Linked DNA regions of Oreochromis niloticus. The protein of the gene in region 2 interacts with the protein of the main gene of each other region in a pairwise test. Links are inferred from orthologs where the notes say so. Each region holds a gene or a part of one and is shown on either strand. Other genes may lie near its edges.

Region 1 (10,093 bases), about 9.5 Mb from region 2:
CAAATCAGATTTTTAAATTATTTGTAATCTTGATATTTGTTCTGAGATTTCTTGTAACATGTAATTTAGAATATTAGGAGACCCCATAGACCACTAGATGGGGCTTTTAAGTTGCCCTTCACCATGTGAATACTGTTTATATATTCATAAAGTAGTGATGGCATCTCTCACACACAAAGTTTCCTTTTAATACATTTATACACCCTAATCTTTGTGTTGGAAATTAAAGCTGCGAGATTAAAGTCACTTTTTTGCTCTTCAACATTTAAAGCACACAGATACACATTGGCTTTAATTCCTCTCAGTACTCATTCTTCCTCAGCTGTGGTCATTTTGAACCCTGAAACCAGTTTTTCCAATGATCACTTCCAAGTGGCCAAAGGATCAAAGAGGCCTCGCCTTAGAGGAATGCAAGAAAAATAAGCGTGGCTCTTATTTATAGGCACCTGGGGCCCAGCCAAAATGGTGGGCTCAATTAGTGGTAGAGCAGCATTTTAACTCATTTGATGGATGATGCTTTTAGTGTTGGTATTGGGTGGCTATCACTTAATTCGCTGTAATTGATACCAAAAGCCCAGTAGCTGCATTGGTCAGCTGAATAAATGCAACCAGACAAATTTTCCCCTCTTCCACTTTCCTCCCGCTGGTTTTCGAGGTTTGGTGCATGTGAAGCTGATTGAAAGTGCCAAGGTATGAAATATATGTCAGTGTAATTCTGCAATATCTTTGGATGATATAACAATTTCCAAAAATGGAAATAAATGGAAAATATAGTTTTCTGCATGGCAAAAGTAATATTACCTGCTTGTGGTGGCCTTAATTCCTTAATGCTGATTCAGTTGCTGATTTTGAATCGGTTTCCTTTCCTTCCTCAGAAATGCGAATGTGCCATTGGATCACAACAAATGACATTCCCTCTTACATACCCTCTTCTGGATTTTTCTCCGCCTGTTTTTCCTTGGTGGCACTGCAGTGGTGTGGAATACCACACAATCATTTCTGTGGCTTGGCCCCGTTTCTCAACGAACAACTTGGACTCACCTGCTTGTTTCTAATTACATGGCTCAGCTCCCTCTACAGTTTTTGAGGTCGTGTTGTAAAAGCACCACTGTCTTCACGTTAGGGGAACCCTCACCCACTTGATTCTAGGGTTTGGAATCAGGGTTTGGCCTCTTTTTAAGGCGCCCATTGCTCGGTTTACCATAGAGGTCTATGGGACTATTCAGGTGTTGCCAGGTTCCTCTTGCTCAAGGCGGCTGTGGGGCTTTAGTTAAAGTCTTTTTATATGATGTCTTTTGAATTCTGTATCAGTCACACATCTCCCTCAGATTGCATTACAGATCCCACTTTTTCCTCGCATATTGTCTCTTACTGATGGCTCCTCTCTGTCACACTTAGGTCCGACAGTATCACAGCCACTCAGTCGCTGTGATGTCCTAAGGCCTGCCAGCCATGTGACACCAACTGTGTTTTTAACCTCATCAGCCCAACCGCCATCTCTCTGCCAACCTTCAGAGACTGTGCTGAAGTGGAGGGTAAGGCAAAGTGGAGCAAAAATCAATTTCATCTATGTTTGAAACCGTGTGTGTCTCTGGTGTCTGGTATCATATTATTAAAGAAGTAGGAACTTTAATCCAGGAAATTATTTGCAAGCATTATGACTCTGCTAAAGATAACATTTGTCTCAACCTGCAGAACAGTTATTAAATCATAATGTAAAAATGTGTGTGAAACACTGAATGCACATTGTGGTTTGCTTTTTTAGTCTATTAAAAACCTTAAACCATCTTTTTGCATTACAAATAGTTATACTCAGGACAGCTTTAGAGGTTAACCCTAAAGGTGCCACTGGTGTTTCTTTGAGAACCTGGAAGCAGATGACCACTTCTCTTTCGATGTGGTGAAGTACTTACAGTAAAGAGAGTTATGGTTACAAATGGCAGTCAGTTTTCTATAATATAGTTTTTTTTAATCAACTGTGCATTTATGGTCTATTTTTACATTTAGATACTATATAAACTGAAAACTTACTCATTCAAATCTGTCACTAATCACTCAGGTAAAATCCAGCAGATGAATCTTATAACTGGTCCCAAGGACTTTGTGTTGAAGGTGGCTTTGAAACCATCCAGGCCTTCATCTCTGAATTCTGCTTCTGAGGTGAGATTAAAAAAAAAGCAAAAAAAAAAGCTGTTGACCACAAGATTAAAAGCGCTAGCAGGTTACTATAGTAATGGGTCCTGGCATTTTTGACACAAACCACCTAAACACTGCTGCGTACCAAGCATTCACCTCCATTGCAAAAACATTCCCCAACAGGAAAATGTGGTCCACTGAGCCTTGAAAAATACTTGCAAATGGCTTGATAACATACTGAATTAACACTTTACAGTCTCTGAACATGAGCTATTATGAGCTCTTCCATTTTTTAAAGTGGTCTTGAGCAACAGTTTTCCCTTGGCTCAGCACGGTGTGCAGTGGGTCCTTAGAGCAGAGAGTGGAGTACGTTGTCAACTAAAGCTAGCAAGTTTAGTTAGCAAGTCACAGGGGGCTTGTTCAAATTCAATAGAATAAGATATAAAGCATTCTTTCTTCTTCTTCTTCTTTTGTCCTTAGCTTGCGATTGGCAGGGGAGGTTGTCCACGTAGCCAATAAGTCGCTGTGGATGCCGTGGGGTTTCCAGCTTGATCAACGATGCACTTACAGGCCTTGTGGTCTCTTGCCTTCACCTTTGCTTGCTTGAGGGTTAGACGTTGTTGTTTAAGATCATCTTCAATTTCCTTGATCCAAGTCTTCTTGGAGGTCTCTCATCACTCTCACTCTGATGTTGCTGCATCAAAAGGCGGTATGGCAGGCGATGGTTGCTCCTGCGGCAGATGTGGCCAAACCATTGCAGTCGTTGCTTCCTAATCAGCTCTTCCATTGAGGCCTGCTGGTGACATTGACTACTTATCACACGTTGCTGAGACTATCACGGAGGGACACTCGGAGAATCTGACGCAAACAGCGCGTTTGGAAGACCTCGAGCTTGTTGAGGTCGTGTTTGAGGATGACCCAGGTCTCCGACTCATAGAGAAGAATGGGGAATACCAGTGTATGGTACAGGCGGATTTTGACCAATTCTTGAATTTAAGAATTCAAGAATATAAAGCATTAAAACACATTAAAAAGACAACAGCCGTAATGAACACAGTGCAGTTTGAACCCACAAGCAGGGTTTTATATGTCATCATTTTACAACTGGATACCCAGAGATAGTAGCTAATATGAGCTTTGTGCGAAGTACTTCTTGGATTAGGTGTTTACACAATAAACTGCACAGAAATCCATATAATTTTACAGACACTGATTTAAAAAAAAGGCTCCAACACCACAAATATGCTAGAGAAGTCCACTTGAGTGACCCCAGTTAGCAGAGGTGATGTCTAACAGGACATGAATGGGCACAAATGTCCCTCAATCAGTCGCAGCAGATGGCTGTGTTACGTTCCCCGTAACAGGCTGCTCTTGCCCCTTCTACAGCCTGGTTCTGCTGGAGACTGCTTCTGGTTAAAAGGGAGTTTTTCCTTCCCGTTGTTGCCAAGTGCTTTTTCATAGGGGGTCACCTGAGGGGTTTCTCTTTGCATTACTGTAGCTGTCTTTACTTTCCTGTCTTTACCTTACAATATCAAGTGCCTTAAGGAAACTGTTTTGTGTTGTCTTAACACTACAGTATCCTAAATACTTTTACTTTTGTTTCATGTATGTCACATAGCAGAGATTTTCTTTAATTCAAAGCAGCAAACAACTATTCAACCGCAGCCTTTCACTCAAAACCAGAAATTAGAGCACTCAGGGGGATGAAAATGAGAAGGTTACATAATGTTGAGTCCATGAATGTCTGAATTGAAGCACTTCTTCACAGAGCCACACTTCACGCATGGCTGAAAATGTTCGCACCACAAATGAATTTCTCCTTTGTTAGCACTGTGCCAGATGTGTTGAAACATGGATTTTACAAGAGTGGAATGAAACAGGCTCTGGTATTAGACCATCAGGGTGCAAATAAACATTTATAATTTCCTTAACCACTGTGTGCTGTGTTTAGGTTCAGCTCAGTTTGCTGTCGTGAGCACCGCTGTGACAAACTGCTGCTCGACACAAGGAGCCATTTCATTTCTCCTTGCATTTTTCTCTGTCTTGAAAGACCAAATAGACATGCTTCACTTGGTATTAAAGTGTTTCATTTAACAACGCTGATTGTGTTTTGTACAGACAAAATGTCCGACCATCTGTGAATAATAAAAACTGTGTGTGTGGTTGATTGTCTTGATGTTTTTGTTTTTTCTTTTTCCTAGAGAGCTAGATCGTCTGCCACAGCAGACTAAACCAGCCGTCGTCTAGTTAACATTACTGAGGTTTTCTAGAATGGCTGAACCCTGATAGGATGTCCTGTTTTTCCTGTAACTCAACTCTTCAGATTCCCCGATCATGCCACAGCATTTCCAGTTTGTGAGGATATTTCCAGTTATTCCACTTGAAAAATGAATAATGGGAATTCTATAAAGGGAATGTTTGCTTCTTTCGTTGCCTCATTTTAAGGCTGACAAATTGCTTGAGGTGGACGCTTCCTACCATCCGTAATCAACTCTTCTCAGCAGCGAGCTGCTTTTCACCACTGCTGTGCTGTTCCAGGCCAGTGGAAATACAAGGGACAACCATAATGGATCTGTAATCTAAAATTTGCCACTCTACATGGAAATCACAAAGGCTTGTCTTGCGGCTTTGCAGCTGCAGCTGCAGTAGCTGTTCCATAAACTATCTGGGTTGAATGGATTGACATTTGAACTTTTCAAATGTTGGTTTTGGTGAATGGATTTGAGATGTGAATGCAGCTGCAGCCTATAGCAATTTTAGGGAGGTTATAATGGGTACAAAATTAGACTAGTTTAAATAGAGTTTGGTCTTTCTATTTAAAAAAAAAATTTAGTTAGTTTTCCAAGTTCATAAAATAATTTCAGCTAGTTTTACATTTAAGTCTATTTTTTATTTGTTTTATTTTAGTCAACTAAAATGTTATTTCATATGTATTTTTAGTTTGTACCCTTTTTTTTAGTTAACTAAAATAACCTTGGTCTCCAGAATCTTGATGCCTCTCATCAGTTCTTACTTCTGTCTTTCTCAGTGCTAAGTGCTTAATCAAATCATTACAGTCAAACACAGAATAGTTAAGTGATTTTTACCCACAGTTTTATGCAAAAACACATGAAAATTCATTCTGTAGAGTTTATTTGCAGTCACAGCCTTCATTACAGAGCAGTCTAGGCGACTCTTCACCAAGAAAACAGCAGCACATGCTCAGTCCCCGCCCCCATACTGATTTGAACCAATAACGTCTTAAAGAGTTTTCCGGACGTCCCGCCCACAAGCGTGAAACAGACAAACATGGCAGCTTCCACAGACATCATCTTGGGGACCTCAGCGTCCATCGCTGGCATTTTAAATGAAAAACACGGACCTGAACACTTGCAGACTTTAAAAACATTTACAGCTGCGCTGCGGGATGTCGAATACAGGTGAGGTCTGGGTAATTTATTTATGTTTTATACGGAAATGGGCCGTATCAGTGCCGGTCCGGCTAAGCTAGCATTAACTTGAAAATATCCAACTGTCAACTACGCACTGCCAAATATAACGGCACGCCCGGTTTCTGAAGTCATTCAGACCTAATAATTGTCGCTGTAGCATAAAGAAAACTAGCACATATCCGCAGTATAGCTTAAATACGTGGTTATGTCTAAGTTCGGTTATTGCTGTTTTGTACTAAAAGCAGATTTTTAAGCATTACTGGTAGTTTTTTTTTTCCTGTGCAGAAGCTAACGCTGCTTATTAAAATTTAACGGCCTGTGCACGTGACATTATGCTCCTTTCTGTGGTATTTGTAGCACAGGAGTATCCCGCACATTGGATTCAAATTGTAAACTGCATGTTTATTTTTTTCTTAATGGAAAAAAGACAGTGTTTCACGCAAGACCCAGCTAATGTAGTGCAAACACCGCGTTATTAACTACATCTGTGTTTTATATCTGGTGGTCTCCCAGTGAGGGTACTGCAAATGAAATGAATCCTGTGTACTTGTTCACCTGTTTGTTGTTGTCAGAGATGCTGTGGAGGAGGAGACATTCTCCACTCTTGTGAAAGTCCTGACCAGACTATGTGAAGAGCTGCAGGCTGCCGGCTTGGACAGTGAGGATGTGCAGACTTTTACCCTGCAGCTCCAGCTGACCGCAGAGTGCTTCAGAGCTCAGAGGAACTCCTGTGTCCAGAGTAAACGTAACCAGAGTCTGCTCAGGTATCCCCGACGTCACAAAGCAGCAGGGGGATCTTTCAGAAACATACAAAATAATTAAGTAAACAATGGTCATAGAGTTTAGTGACTGATTTATTTGGAAGCACTGCTAAAAATCCTTCTTGAGCATTTTTCCTGCTAAAATTTGGCTGTTTATGTTTAAGGAACTTGTACAATTATATCTTTACAATTGCAGGATTTGTTGAAGTGCTATTTTTGCAGTTTATAATAATATTATGTCACAGTTTGTTATTGGGTGCCTCCTTTTTATTCTTATACAAAAGAAAAAGACAAAGAAGCACTTGACATAATGTGTCTTTGTCAACTAGGGAACTTGGTTTCATTGATGTATCCCTCAAACTCCTGAGATTTCTGTCAACTGTAAATATGGAGATTCCAGATACCATATTCGAACGTAAGTCTAAAATTCGGCCACTGATGCTTAAGGTACAGTAATTATGTGTTTTTCCTTTGTCCCTTTCAAAGCCAACTAAATTGTTTTGAGTTGAGCTATAGAGGTTGTTAGAGATGGAAGTAGATTGTGCTGTTTTTGTCTTGTGGTGCTCAAATTGTAAAATAATTTATGACGTTGACTAGTCAAAAAAAATTATTATGCCTTTGTGTAGGCAGTTTCATATAAGAACTATTTTCTGTCGACAGTCTACATCTGCCAACCAGAAGAAGTGTGCAGCCAGCTAATATTACAGGGTTCTTTGAGTTTTATAAGAAACCGTGCTGTCTAGTTCTTTTGTATTCAAGAGTAGGCAAAAACTTTTAACAGTCTAGAAGGACATAAACGCAATACATCATGGAGGAAAATGAATGGTGAATGAATCTTGAGTAGTTTTTCTGATTTTTTTGATCTGTTTTCTGTGGCTCAGCTCTTCGCTGTGGCATCCAGTTTCTTGGTAACTTGGCTGTTGGTAACCAGTTGTGCAAAGATGACATTTGGATGATAAGCTTCCCAGACCTTTTCCTGTAAGTTCTGTGTGCCAAAATTTCACCCTGATCTTTCTGTTTGACTCCAAAATCACATGCACATTCTATATTAGTAAATCTGTCCACCCGAACGTATGCAAACAGGCAGCTGCTTAGCACTGACGATGAGAAGACCGTGAACTACACCTCGATGGTAATCCACACATGCCTGGATGAGGCCAAGGTGGAAGATTTGTCCAAGCCACAGAACATTGAGCTGGCTCTCAGGGTGATGGAGCTCTGCAGGACTCAGCCTGAGCTGGACTGGACGTAAGTGCATCATTATGGTACTAACTTGAAAACTGTTGTTATGCATCAAGGGCATACTTAAGTGCTCCTTTCCCTTTGTTATTTATTGATTTTTTTCAGAGTGCTCATTGCAACACAGCATTTCCTGAGGTCTTCGTCACTGGTGGAGAACATGTACTCTGAGATGTCTCACCATGATAGGTACTTCATTTTTGTTGTTTGGATAAAAACATGAACAATTCACTCAAACAGAACTGGTTAAATGTATGCTAGCACCTTTCAGCCTATTATTTTAGTTTTTTGGTTTTTACACTGCATAGAAATGATGCACAGAATAGTAGTAAAAAACAGCTAATATTTAACCTTCTAGGACCTGGCGTCCACATATGTGGACATCACATTTTGGGATGTCTAGACCAAAATACTTAATTTTCTCTACAAGGGCCTGATATCCACTTACAAGGACATTATACAGCCACTGTTCTATCAACATTTAAAATGAATGTCCTCATATGTGGATCTTATTTTTCTCAGAAACAAAAATTAGGTAAAAAAAAAAAAAATCTGGTAATTCTTTGTTTTTACATTCATCAGGTCCCAATCAACCCAAATACCAAAGAACAATTAAAAGTGCATGCCATGAAAGAGTTCGGGTCTTAGGAGGTTAAATGAAAACTATAGATGCTTCATATAGATGTACATTTTGTTTTTCAGAGTTACTTTATTAGAGCTACTTTTAGCCCAGCTAAGAGAGGAGGGCTCAGAAGACTGTGGCATCCCTCCCAGTGTGGCTCGTTTCCTGGCCACTTCCTTCCAGAAAGGTTGTGGAGCTGTTCTCACACTTGCTACGGGTTCTGCGTCCAGTGATGAGGTACAGATCATAAATTCAACACATTTTCTGCAGGTTTTTCACCCTGCGTTTGTTAGCCTTACCCTGTGTGAAATGAATAAACTTATGTTTCAGTCGTTTTGACTCTCAGTATTGTGTCTCAAAAGATTCTTACTCTGTGGACTGCCCCCTGTTTGTTGCAATCCCCTGCAGGTCCTGCAGGAGGCGCTAACAGTGATTAGTCTGCTGGATGTGCTGTGTGAGATGACCTCAGACCACAAGCAGTTCATGTTCCTACAGGATCATCCAGACCTTCTAGTAACTACTGTTGGTAAATGAAAAACAGCCATTAAGTCAACAACCGAGCAACAGCAGACATTAAATTAAACAGCCCGCAAAGTCCAAATGCTGGAAAGTTTGAGGTTTATCATTTAATCTGTTTCTTAAAGGAGAAAAGCAGAATCTCATATGTCAACATCAGCCATAATTTGAATAGCTTTATGCTGCTTCTCAGAAGGTGTTCTGCTTTTCCCGTTGTCTGCCACAAACTGTCTGTCCATGCAGAGCTCCTGGAGCAGGTACACGCCACCGGGAAGGCCAGTAAGAATATTTTCAGTGCTGCTCAGAACTTCTCCTCCTTCAGTGGAGATGGAGACTCTTCTTCTTATTCTCCTGTCATCAGCTTTAAGGCACACCTCATCAGGCTCATAGGAAACCTCTGCCACAGCAATACCAACAACCAGAACAAGGTTTGGACAAATGAATGAGTGGAGGGATGGAAGTTCTGTTAAGTTTGTGGTGGTACTTGATAACAACTGTGACGAAGAGTGAATGAAAATTTTGCTATAAGCCATAATTTCCAGATCAGAGGTAGTTCAGTGTGCTGAGTCATATTTCCACTTCCACCTCAAAGTCCTTCATATGCTGCCATTTTTAATATGTTGAGAATTTACATACAGTATTTAATGATTATACTATAAGTGGGACATAAAGAGAACTTTATGTCTGTCTACCTATCAGAGACAGACACTCACAGAGTATTGTACTTAAATCTGTCGCATCTGAAGTGTTTCTTTGATTAAAACTTCATAATAGCTGCCCAAATAAGTGCCCAGAGGCATTTTGAAATAACTGTTAGGTGGTGAAATCTTCTCAAGCACTTTAGCTATTTTTTCTATCTATCTAGTAGGGGAGGGGAAAAATCTATGCAGTATAGTATCACAATATTTTCCTTGGCATTATTGTCAATAGGGGTGCAGCAAAAAATCAGTATTTTATTAAATAATACTGTGAGGATACTTCGAAAAAGAGGGCTTATCTCATGCACCACCATCATGAGATAAATGTTAGCTGAGCAAACAAAGCTACCTTCTAATTCAGAGCAAGCTAATGGCTCAGTCACAGTAAAAATAGGACAGCAACCACCTTGCATCTACAAAAAAAATAGTTGGCTGACTGGTGATTGTATTGATTTTTTTCATATTCTGCAACAGAGTAAACCTTGTGGAACTAAATGGCTGCGCAGAGTTTAACAGTCATGACCACGTTTGATCACAAGGTGATTGCACAGGTCGCCTGATAGGAAGCTTTTCTGCAAACGGTTGCAGTCTGACTTGGAATGACTGCAGTCACTCTCTGAGAGATTATTTTAAATAATTGCTGTTTAATTTATGAATGCAGGAAGACTACCAACATACTACTATCAGTCT
Region 2 (10,198 bases):
CTGGTCTTGTCTCAGCAACCATTTTCTCAAATTCAGTCAGGCTTCTTATTTTGTTTTGTTTTCCAGTGCAAAGCATTGCCAACACCCCAGCAAGCTGTTGCAACAAAGTCTCCATTTGTTTACATCTGCATGAGGTGGTATATCGCTTTCTCCAGCATGGTAATCGCAATAAGCGTTGCATAAATATTTTTAAATCTTGCAAAATGTGCATATTTGAGGTTTGTGAGAATAAAATATGTGACGTTGGTCCTTATGTTTGTGTTACAACTGAACTTCAAAGTCCACTGGACTGAGCCTGGCAACAGTGTGACTTTTCACCTTGGTGCTCTTGCTTGTACACAGTCATAGTGACATCATTGATCATCGTCATCACTGGTCAAGCATCACCTTACACACGCCTTAAGAGGTCTGCAAAAAGACATTGACGTGTTTACAGGTTCATCAGCAACAGGTCATTTTTAAAGAAACAAGGTTCATGACGGTTCATGACTCACAGAGACGACCTCTTGCCTAAATGTGGGATTATACTAGAGCTGAACTACAAAGCAAAGCTACAGACTGAGTCATACCCAAACTTAGTATCATCTACTGAAACCCAGTTAGAGGAACTTGTGTTGGCTGCACCGGTCACCAGTGATCGAGTCCTCATGCAGCAACATGGCACATTTCATAACAAAGATAGAGGTCACTCATTCACCAGGATAGATATTCTCTGGAGGGATTTTTTTTTTTGGTCTGTCTAAAATTCAACAAGAAAAGCCACACAAAGACATTAAGACAAAAGAGGCTACTGACTGTTCAGCTCATCTTCAAGAAAATTAACAGCAGTTTAACCTGGGATTCACCCTTTAATCACAAATCCCTCCATCACCCCTCGGTAAAACACCAAACCTAGAGATCACATGGCCTTTAACACACACACAGAGCAGCCCCTCGTCTCCAGAGATGGTTATGTCCGGAGAGCGGCACTTCAAATTCTTTCCTCACTCAAGCTCATCTCTGGACATCAGCCCAAAAAAAGGCAACGTTTCCACCCAATGAGTTTGCATGGAGGGGCTCATGCTAATTCCAGATTTCATTAAAGCAGACTACGAGCTTGAAGAAAGGTTAATTTACCAGCAGGATTAATTAATGCAAAAAAAAACTATTCACATACATGAAATCACATACGGATAAAGCTGATGACCCATGCCTTAAAACCTGCTTTTAAAACTTTTAATCTGTGCAGTGGCGTAAGTCTTGGAGAACAAACACACCATGGGAGCAAGGTGGTGCATAAAGCAGTGCTCATAATTACTAAGACGAGACATGTGGACATGAGTAATGAAGTGACATCACAGGAGATCTATGCAAGTATAAAACATTTAATGTGAATAGTTTTGTACATCCTTACATCATGTAAACACTATCCACACTAGTGCAAACAAGATAAACAAATGCTCGTTTCCACCAGCATTATCCTTTATTTCTTCAAATTAAAATACTGATATCCAGGATGCAATATGCAGGGAGAGAAAAATAAAAAAAATATATAGAGGGGCAACCACCGTTTCCCTCTTCAGAGGATGTTAGCTTCATAGCTTTAATGATTAATTTGAAATAACCCCAAATGTAAAACACATCACCCTCTTTTACCCGAATCCATAAAGTCTCTGTAAAGGGAAGGAGACTTCATTTTCTGAGATCAGCAGCACACTTTCCAGTTTGAGTGTTAATAAATATGTGGAAATTATCTGACTCTGTAATATGTTCGACAGCATGTTCTAACTTGTGAACGAAGATCAGGTTAAGGTTGATCTTTTTAAACAAAATGCTTCTACCCCTCTCCATCAGCCTATCACAGCAGCTGCGCCATCATGCAAAAGGCGACAAACGACTGCAGGATGTTGCAGAGAACAGTCCTGGTGCCGAGCCGCAACTCAACAAGAAGAAAGAAGAAAAGAAGAAGCTGCACAAATCACCTTTGGAGAGACCTCAGATGTCAACACAGAGGCAACTGGTTGGCACACAATATTTCTGAGGTTTTTCTGCAACTCTCTGGACCCAGAGATCCAACGTTACAGTTTGGCTTAATGAAAAGCTGGAATGGAATAGATCCTGATCATCTCACCCCAGCAGCCTCACAAGCACTGAAAGTGAGATCAGTTTCTGATTGGACTGATGTTTGCACTGTTGACTGTTTCAAGACACTGCAAAAATCCTGGAAAGGGGGGGGGGATAAAAGTTTATTTTCCAGTGGGAATGACAAATTATTTATCAGAGGCAGAAACATGCAGTCCAGAAAGGGGAAATCCCCCAAACCCTTCACCCTGCTTATTTCCACCAAATAGTAAAACACTTAACTGCAATGTTCTTGGTACAAAATAAGCAAGATTTCTTTATGAAAATGTCACTGTAAAAGCTAACAGTATACCCGTAATCATTTGATCCATTAAGCACAAACTGAAAAACATGTTATTAAATCCTATTGTTTTTAAAATAAGTGTACTTGTTTAATGGTAAAAGCTACATCTGAAGCAACAGAAACAAATTCATAAATTACACGATCAGGTTCTTTGTTATTTAAGTTTTAATTCTAGTCTAGCTTTTGCACACCTCACTGGACTTAACCTGGTCACAACTTTATGTAAGCTTACTGCACCAACAAGCAACCCACTTCCATCACTGGATCCATGGTGGTTTATAAAGCTTTCAAATCAGGCTTTTAACCCATTTGGACTGAAACTACCTCATACCGCCTAAAACCCATCAAGATGAGGTGCCATTTTCAGTTTATCGGCTGTGGAAGTACTGATGCTAGTCAAAGTAGCTACCCCAGTTAGCGGGCAAATGACTAGCTTGGCACGGCTAACATCCCGGTGTAGCAAAAGCGCTAACGACACAGCCGTTTCCGATTAACTATACACAAAACAGCATAAAATTATGAGGCCCATAATTTACCGCTGACGCCGTTTCTCCGGTCAGTTAATGAATGAATTAACTTCAGCTAAAGCCCCACACAGCTAACGACATTTATCTTAGCATGCTAAAGTACGTTAGCAGACAATCCGCTGGGCTAATACTGCGCTGTTACCATTCACTCTTTCCTGGCAATTAAACTAATATGCCCAATATTTATGAGGGGATGCATTTTTTAAGTTAGAGTGACAAGCAATCATTGTTTTGCAATCGTAACATTAGCCTGTATCTGAATGACGTTGTATCTGAAGCTAGTTAGCGAGGTAGCTTCTGCTTCCTCTCCAGAGAGTAGCCACAGTCGGGGAGGGTTTATCAACAAAACGACTTTTACTGCTAACCAGGTAGCAGCCATCTATTGCTGGGTTCATTCTGCATGAACATCATTTATATTAAGCTCCAAACACACTAAGTAGGATCCGAAAATAATCAATGGACCACACAGACACTAGGTGCTTGTCTGGCTTGATTGCATTTACAACATAAAACCGAGCCAATGTTTCAACCCGAAAAATGCAGCAGTACTGCAATTAGACTGCACCTACAGACTCAGGCTAGTTTATGGAGGCATGAAGTAGAATTAGCCCTGGAAATTAGGTGTTTGACTTTGCTGCTTCTTGCCACTTATACTCAGGCAAGTGTATGCATAGTTAGCGCGGTTTACCAATTAAACAGCCTCAGGAGGAAGCCAACGGGTTCATCCCTTCTCTGCTTCGAGAAGGACGAGTATGCTAGGTAGGTAAACAACGGGATGAGAATGGCTTCCATTTGACAGGTGTACCAGGGTAAGCTTTTGCTAGCAGCCAGTCGATATTTATGTCTAATGGTACCAGCTGCTGACATAAACACACACGGCAGGCCAACACAAACCTGGTGGAGGGCGGTGAGACCGTCTACATTGGCGTAGTTGATGTCAGCGCCCCGGTCAAGCATTCGGAGCACCTCCTCGGTATCGCCGCTCGAACAGGCGGCCAGAAACACGGCGCCATCATCGAACTTCACCTTCGTCTTTTTCTTTTTCAAAACAGGAGGCTCCTGGTCCGTTTCCGAGCCAAGCCATCGCTTTAACTGTTCATTCCGCTTCTGCTTGGCGTCCGCCATCTTCATCCCCCTCCTGTCTCGGGCTTCTTATCTTTCGCCGAGAGAGGATATACTTTATAGTGCCACTATCCCACAGCGCAGTGGGGCGTGGGAAGGGAGGGCTGGGGAGGAGGGGGAACTGAGAGTGAGAGAGAGAGAGAGAGAGAGAGAGCGCGTCTGGATTGTTTCCCGTAACCTCGCGAGATCTGAAGCCCAGGAACTGCAGTATAACGTCATCATCAGCGGATTATAAGGGAGAGTGAGTGAGTGAGCGAGCAGGGTAATCCTTATCGACTGTGCACACCAAATAAGACAAGATTACTTAAAAATATTGCATAACCTTCTGCGGGTTCACAAAAAAATTCTAAGAGAGGCTCTCTAACGTGCAGTAGCTAATATTTTTTGACCGCCTCTAGGCTACTGTTTGCTGTGATATAGCTGGGAACACAGAAGTGATGTAAAACCACATGTCAGTGAATGTATCTGCAGTAGAAAACAGTGTTATCTGTAAGAACAACCAAATCTTCCCACCTTCTCTGTGGGTGAAGGAAAGGAAAAGGAGGTCTGGATCAGGGACGTTTCCAGGATTTTTTCAATGGGGTGGCACGTGCACCCACAACACCTTGCTTTTGTCAATCCATCATAGACATAAGACATAATCTCTCCAGTGTGTCCCGTCCTTTTTTTTAGCAATCATATCAATTAACTTGTGATTTACAGACGTCACCCCTGTCTTTTCAGTTGAGGAAGCAGAAAGCATTTTATTATGCTATCTAAACAAACATACTCTTTGCAGATGTTTTCCACGTCTTGTGGGTGGTTCTTTTAAAGCATTTTGTGCTAAAGGTACATCGCAAGGCGAGCCAAAACGTTCAGGCACACCTGTATTCTCATTATACTCAGAAAAGAGCATGTATCTCATCTGAAATACCGTCAGATCTCCTTTAAATGCATAATATACTGTATATTTAAATATTTAATGTCAGATGAATTTAATTAGCTCTTTTGCCACACAAGAAAGCAACAGTTCTTGGCCACCTACACATTACACTTTTAGGAACTGCCTCTCCTTGGAAACCTATGAATACCACAAATTTCTTGGTGCACAGCTTTTGTGCTAATATTAATGCCACAGGAGGTATGCAACTCTGCACTATGCGCCAGAGCACTTGTAACTTCACAGCTGCTATGATACCTTAACGCTTTGACTTTTTACTGATATGACTTATACTTGATCACACAAAATTCAGTAAATCTTTGTAATGACCTATTCTTGCACAAATGTTGTAAAAGCAGTCAGAATTGCTTTATACACCTGTGGCAATGGGACTGAGCACATCTGAATTCGAAAGAGGTGTGGCCCAGTACGTGTGTCCATATAGAGTAGTTGCACAACCAGATGAATGACCTGTTTTTAGCTCCAAAACGACATACAAGGTACTTTCCAAACTGTAACCTCCACAGAGCCATCTGTTCCAACGTCAGTGCCCTTCTCCATCATGCTGGTTACTGCTATTGCTGCAGAAGCGCTAAACTACAGCTAACCAAATAATTAACTTCAGCTTGTGCTGCAATAACTTACATCGCAGCTTTATGGCATCATGGGTGTTTACTTTTTCATTACCAAACTTTCTGACTTGATTTAATTAATGGTTGTAGAATCAGCTCAGAGGGCTCAATTCACATTTTTAGGCAGGTCTGGACCCCTAAAACCCATCAATAATGGAGAGGGCAAATGGCATTGTAGTTATCATTTTTTAGCATTGCCAATTGGTGACTATGTAACGAAGTTGCTCTGTGGCTGATGGAGGCTGTTGCATGAAAATCAAAGAATATCATAAATACATTGTATTCTAGTAGCATCACTATGAAGTTATAGCAGAGTCTTGGGTCTGTTATTTATTTTTGTCCTTTATTTATGCTGAATTAGTGCTGATTGAGTCTTTTTATGTTGTCTTACAATCAGCGGCAACTCAAATGAACCATCAGTTTTACAAAAGTCATGTTTTGTTTTTCATTTCAGGAAGTGAAATGATTTTATTGTTCGAATTAAACAGACTGTCTCAGTGGAGGTGTTTCCCCTTTCTTCTGGGTGGTTCTTTCAAAACATTTGGTGCCAAAGCCACACTAAAGGGCGTGGATAGATTTAAGGCACACCTGTATTCTTATCTGCAGTTATCTGCACATCATGTAAAATATCATCACTTCTGTATGTATACTGATACAGTCACTTCATCCATTTATTACCCCTTTGTGCAACTGTGGTAATAACATTTGGCTGACACAAAATCTCTCCATAGCTGGTAATTATATACTGCCGGGAAGCTTTATCTATAATATTACAGTATAATATTAATACATTAGCAGCTTACTACTACTACTAATAATAATAATATAAAGAAAAAAAATGTAACATACTCTCAGCAATAACCCTGCTGGAATAAGGAACTTGCCTTAGTATTATATAACTGGACAGCTCAAACAGACAGTCGAGAACATCGACTGTATCCCAACCAAATTTATGCTGAGGTATAAAATTATCAGGATTGATAGAAACAACATGGCTGCTAACAAACAGAGAGTAGCGTCCCAGTGGAAAGCATTTGTGCCCTTTAGCGTATAAGTGGTACAATAAAGGTGCTTTATTTTTGTATTTTTGAAAGACATTTTGAAATTGGGAAAGTAAGGAAAAACACAGGAAAATCATGTCGTTGAATCAAGGCAGCCTACAAAGGCAAATTCATGCATTTAGATGCACGCGCTCACTTATATGTCCCACTGTATGCCACCCTGTAAATCTGCTACCTACACCGACTCAGAGTTTTTCCTGTGCTCCATCCAGCACCCCATATGCTTCTGCACTTTATTTTTTAGTGGATCGATTTACAACATTTTCCATCTTCATATGTATTTCCCTCTGCCAAAGACCTTTACCCTGTCTTAAAAACAGTTTTAATTACTTTTTTTCTTTGTGTCACACTGTGACTCTCTTCAGTTTATGTATTTGTGTACAAAGATCTTTTTTTGTTTTTGTTTTAAATGCTTCATTATCATCGTTTTGGTTCAAATGAACTTTTACAGATGTGGCTATTTTCATTTCAGGAAGTGGAAGGAATTTTGTCATGCTAACTAAACAAACTCTCATTTGGCGGTATTTCCCCTTTCTTCCACCCAGATTCACGAAACGGCTTTTCCAACTATGTAACGCGTTTAGTTTCCATGTCATAAAAAAGACATCGCTCCCCAAAGGGAAATGGAAGCCGTCTTATTACAGAGTACCTGCGATGATTTGATGGCGAACACTTGAAGTGTTAGTAGACTTAAGCACCAGGGTGGTCCAGTTCAATCTGGAGTGAAAACAGGGTGGTACATAAAGTGCATGTGATTTTTGTTTTGTTTTTTTTGTTTTTTGGCACCCTCATGAGTTATTGTTGGCAGACATTCATGTGTACTCAGCAGGGGGTGCGGTGTTGCCGTCAAGTTGTAGGTATGAAGCATGCAGTCGCTCTTGTTTTCTTTACAGCAGGGTGTCACTTAATGATGGTTTTTTTCTGTTTAAAGACATTAAAAATGAGAAAGGTAATCTCTGTGCGTAATTTGGTGCCCCCCTCCAACTGAACTTGAAGTTGACATCCTGAATAACAAGCTGTTCAAGCAAAATCATGAACCAAAACATTTATACAACTGCCACCATGAGCCATTGTGTGGCGTGTGTACACATAAACCCAATATTATTTCATTTCAGAAGCATTTACTGCCTAAAAGCACAGTAAACTGGACTTAGAAGACACTCAGCTCGGCTGTTACACAAATGTCATGGGAAATCTGCACGGTTCTAATGAGTCAGAGCGATATGGAACACCAACAACGTCAGCGTCAGGAAGTTGCTGGCCAGTGGCTTCAGTGTGCTGATACCAGGAGGGCTGCAGGGAAAGTGATGTGCAAGCTGCTGTTTGGCAGGGAGAGTCGACCTCACAGTGACTGACAGAACAAGGCGAGCGCTGTGGGTCACTTCCAGCTCTGAATGTAATAAGAGAGTCTCGTGTGTAGGTGTTTGTGTATCTGTGTGATACATCAGCGAGTTTATGAGCTGCAGACAGCACAAACAGCAAAAAAATGTGCTTACTTGGAGGTTTTGGTTCAGTTGCTTGAAAAGATTGTTTCGTAAGATTATTTTTTCCAGTCCCTGTCAACATATGAACACCAGGCTCTGAATATGTGACGGGGTGGAGTCCGCATGTTCTCCAGGTTCCCCCTCACACTCAGAAATATACATGTTAGCTTAACTGGCAATTCTAAGTTGGTCATAGGTGTGGATGGCATCCTGTCTCTATGTTAGCCCTGTGATAGACTGGCAATCTGTCCAGGGTGTACTCATGACAGCTGGGCTAGGTCCCAGCTACTACTTACTACTACGACTAAAATGGATGTAGGTTTGGTTGTGTTTCATTTCTGCTGCGTCCGATCTTGCCAAACATGTTTAAATTTGTATTGAAACCAAAACAATGGAAAAGCATCAATGGATTTGAATATTCCTTATAAGTGCCATGCATCTGACTGCTACAGTCTACTTTTTTTTTTCTTTTTTCCATGTAGGGAAATGTATTTAATGAGTATTGTGAACTGAAAATGTCTAAAATGTGTGAAAATGATGAAATAATAATAGGATTCCTCTTTTGTGCTGCTTTGCTAGCTCCTCGCTGTAGCCAGTGCCGGTCGTTCACGGATATTCCTGCCATTAGTCTCTTTTTTATTTACAGTCTACTTAAAGTCTACAGTGTCAGCTACACTGTTATGTAAGAGGGGCCCCATGTCGCGCTGAAGGCCTAGAAACTGTCCAATGTATATCCACATCCTTAACTTAACACCAGTCAAATATCTTGAATGCATCCTGTTTATGTATCCTACTATACCCCCTCCCTCCCAGCAGCTGTATTTATCTCAGTAATGCCAGTGACACAGAGCGCTTATTGACTAACAGTAAAATGACTTTTGCCACAGTGTCGGCTGATCATAATTAATGGGATGTGAGAGGAGTCGTCATCAAATCCTTTAGTGAGACAAAAATCATTTGTCAGCATTACCTTTCACATGCAGATGTGACTAAGAGGGCTGTCTCATTGTATATTTGCCAGGCAAACTCTTGTCTTTCATTACTCTTCACTTTGATCTCCTATGACTGTTTGCTTCTGTTTCTGCTCCTTGAGGGGATAAAACTGTCTGGGAGTGATTCAAGTGTATTGATGCCACAAAATTACAATGGTGCACTCTCACTGTTTGTCTCTGGCCACTGAGACGTGCGTGATTAAAACCCGGCGACGGACCTCAAAGTTGTGTCAGTGTAGGCGTGTTCCAAGCATCACGACACCAGCGTCAGGGCCCTCTGCATCTATGACTTATCCCTGAGAGGAAGCGCTTGTTTACCGCTTTAACTGAGTATTTCCGCTGGAACCGTTTGTGGTTTGTGGAAACAGATGAGGTGTGCAAGTCAAGTGTCCTGGAAAGACAGCTGGAGAGGTTGACGAGGGTTGTTTACCTGAGCGTGTGCCTCTTTAAGTGTGTATGTATTTATATGTTACTGGACAGGCTGCGTTGGATGTTATCCAGCCTGATGTCAACCATACAGTATTCTAAAGGTTCCTACAGTTCCTATAATAATTCCCGTGTACACTAGAGCAACATGCTCATATAAACACACAAACACAAAGATTTATGGAGAAGATTGATTTGAGTCTTTCTCTCAGGCTGTTAAATTTACATGTACAAGGATACGCTCATGCTACATAATTGTTTGGCCTGTTTTTGCTGCTGGCTGTGAAATTAAAATTAAAATTTATGCACTGGGGTGCGTAAATGCTTGTTGACTTCTAGGCAATGTGATTGTGTCATAATATCTGATACAACTAAGGTTGTTCAACTCCTGATGGTTTAGGAAGAATTCACAACCAAAGAAATAATTGTTGCAAGATTATGTACGGATGCTTGCCTCCCTGTCTGTTTTTTATAACTGTGCAAGAATTTACATTACAATGCACCAGCTATGCATGTGCCCCAGGCAGCAGACTTCAAGTGGACTTTGGCTGCTCCCTTATTCACAAGGGGTTGCTAGGGCAAATAGGTCTGCATGTTTTGATTTAGCAGATTTTTATACCAGATACACTTC

The links.
Region 1: the proteins of ppp1r12a (region 2) and atxn10 interact in binary tests that used the Homo sapiens proteins (3 or more experiments, as listed by UniProt). The link is inferred for Oreochromis niloticus from reciprocal best matches to the Homo sapiens genes PPP1R12A and ATXN10.

Annotation. Positions count from the first base shown.
Region 1 is NC_031981.2:6,401,851-6,411,943, forward strand, and holds the start of atxn10 (ataxin-10), read left to right. Parts: upstream 1-5,392; 5' UTR 5,393-5,424; coding exon 5,425-5,555; intron 5,556-6,139; coding exon 6,140-6,331; intron 6,332-6,657; coding exon 6,658-6,743; intron 6,744-7,209; coding exon 7,210-7,306; intron 7,307-7,411; coding exon 7,412-7,576; intron 7,577-7,675; coding exon 7,676-7,756; intron 7,757-8,269; coding exon 8,270-8,426; intron 8,427-8,597; coding exon 8,598-8,715; intron 8,716-8,948; coding exon 8,949-9,133; intron 9,134-10,093. UniProt on the Homo sapiens protein: May play a role in the regulation of cytokinesis. May play a role in signaling by stimulating protein glycosylation. Induces neuritogenesis by activating the Ras-MAP kinase pathway and is necessary for the survival of cerebellar neurons.
Region 2 is NC_031981.2:15,910,793-15,920,990, reverse strand, and holds the start of ppp1r12a (protein phosphatase 1 regulatory subunit 12A), read right to left. Parts: upstream 4,174-10,198; 5' UTR 4,063-4,173; coding exon 3,826-4,062; intron 1-3,825. UniProt on the Homo sapiens protein: Key regulator of protein phosphatase 1C (PPP1C). Mediates binding to myosin. As part of the PPP1C complex, involved in dephosphorylation of PLK1. Capable of inhibiting HIF1AN-dependent suppression of HIF1A activity.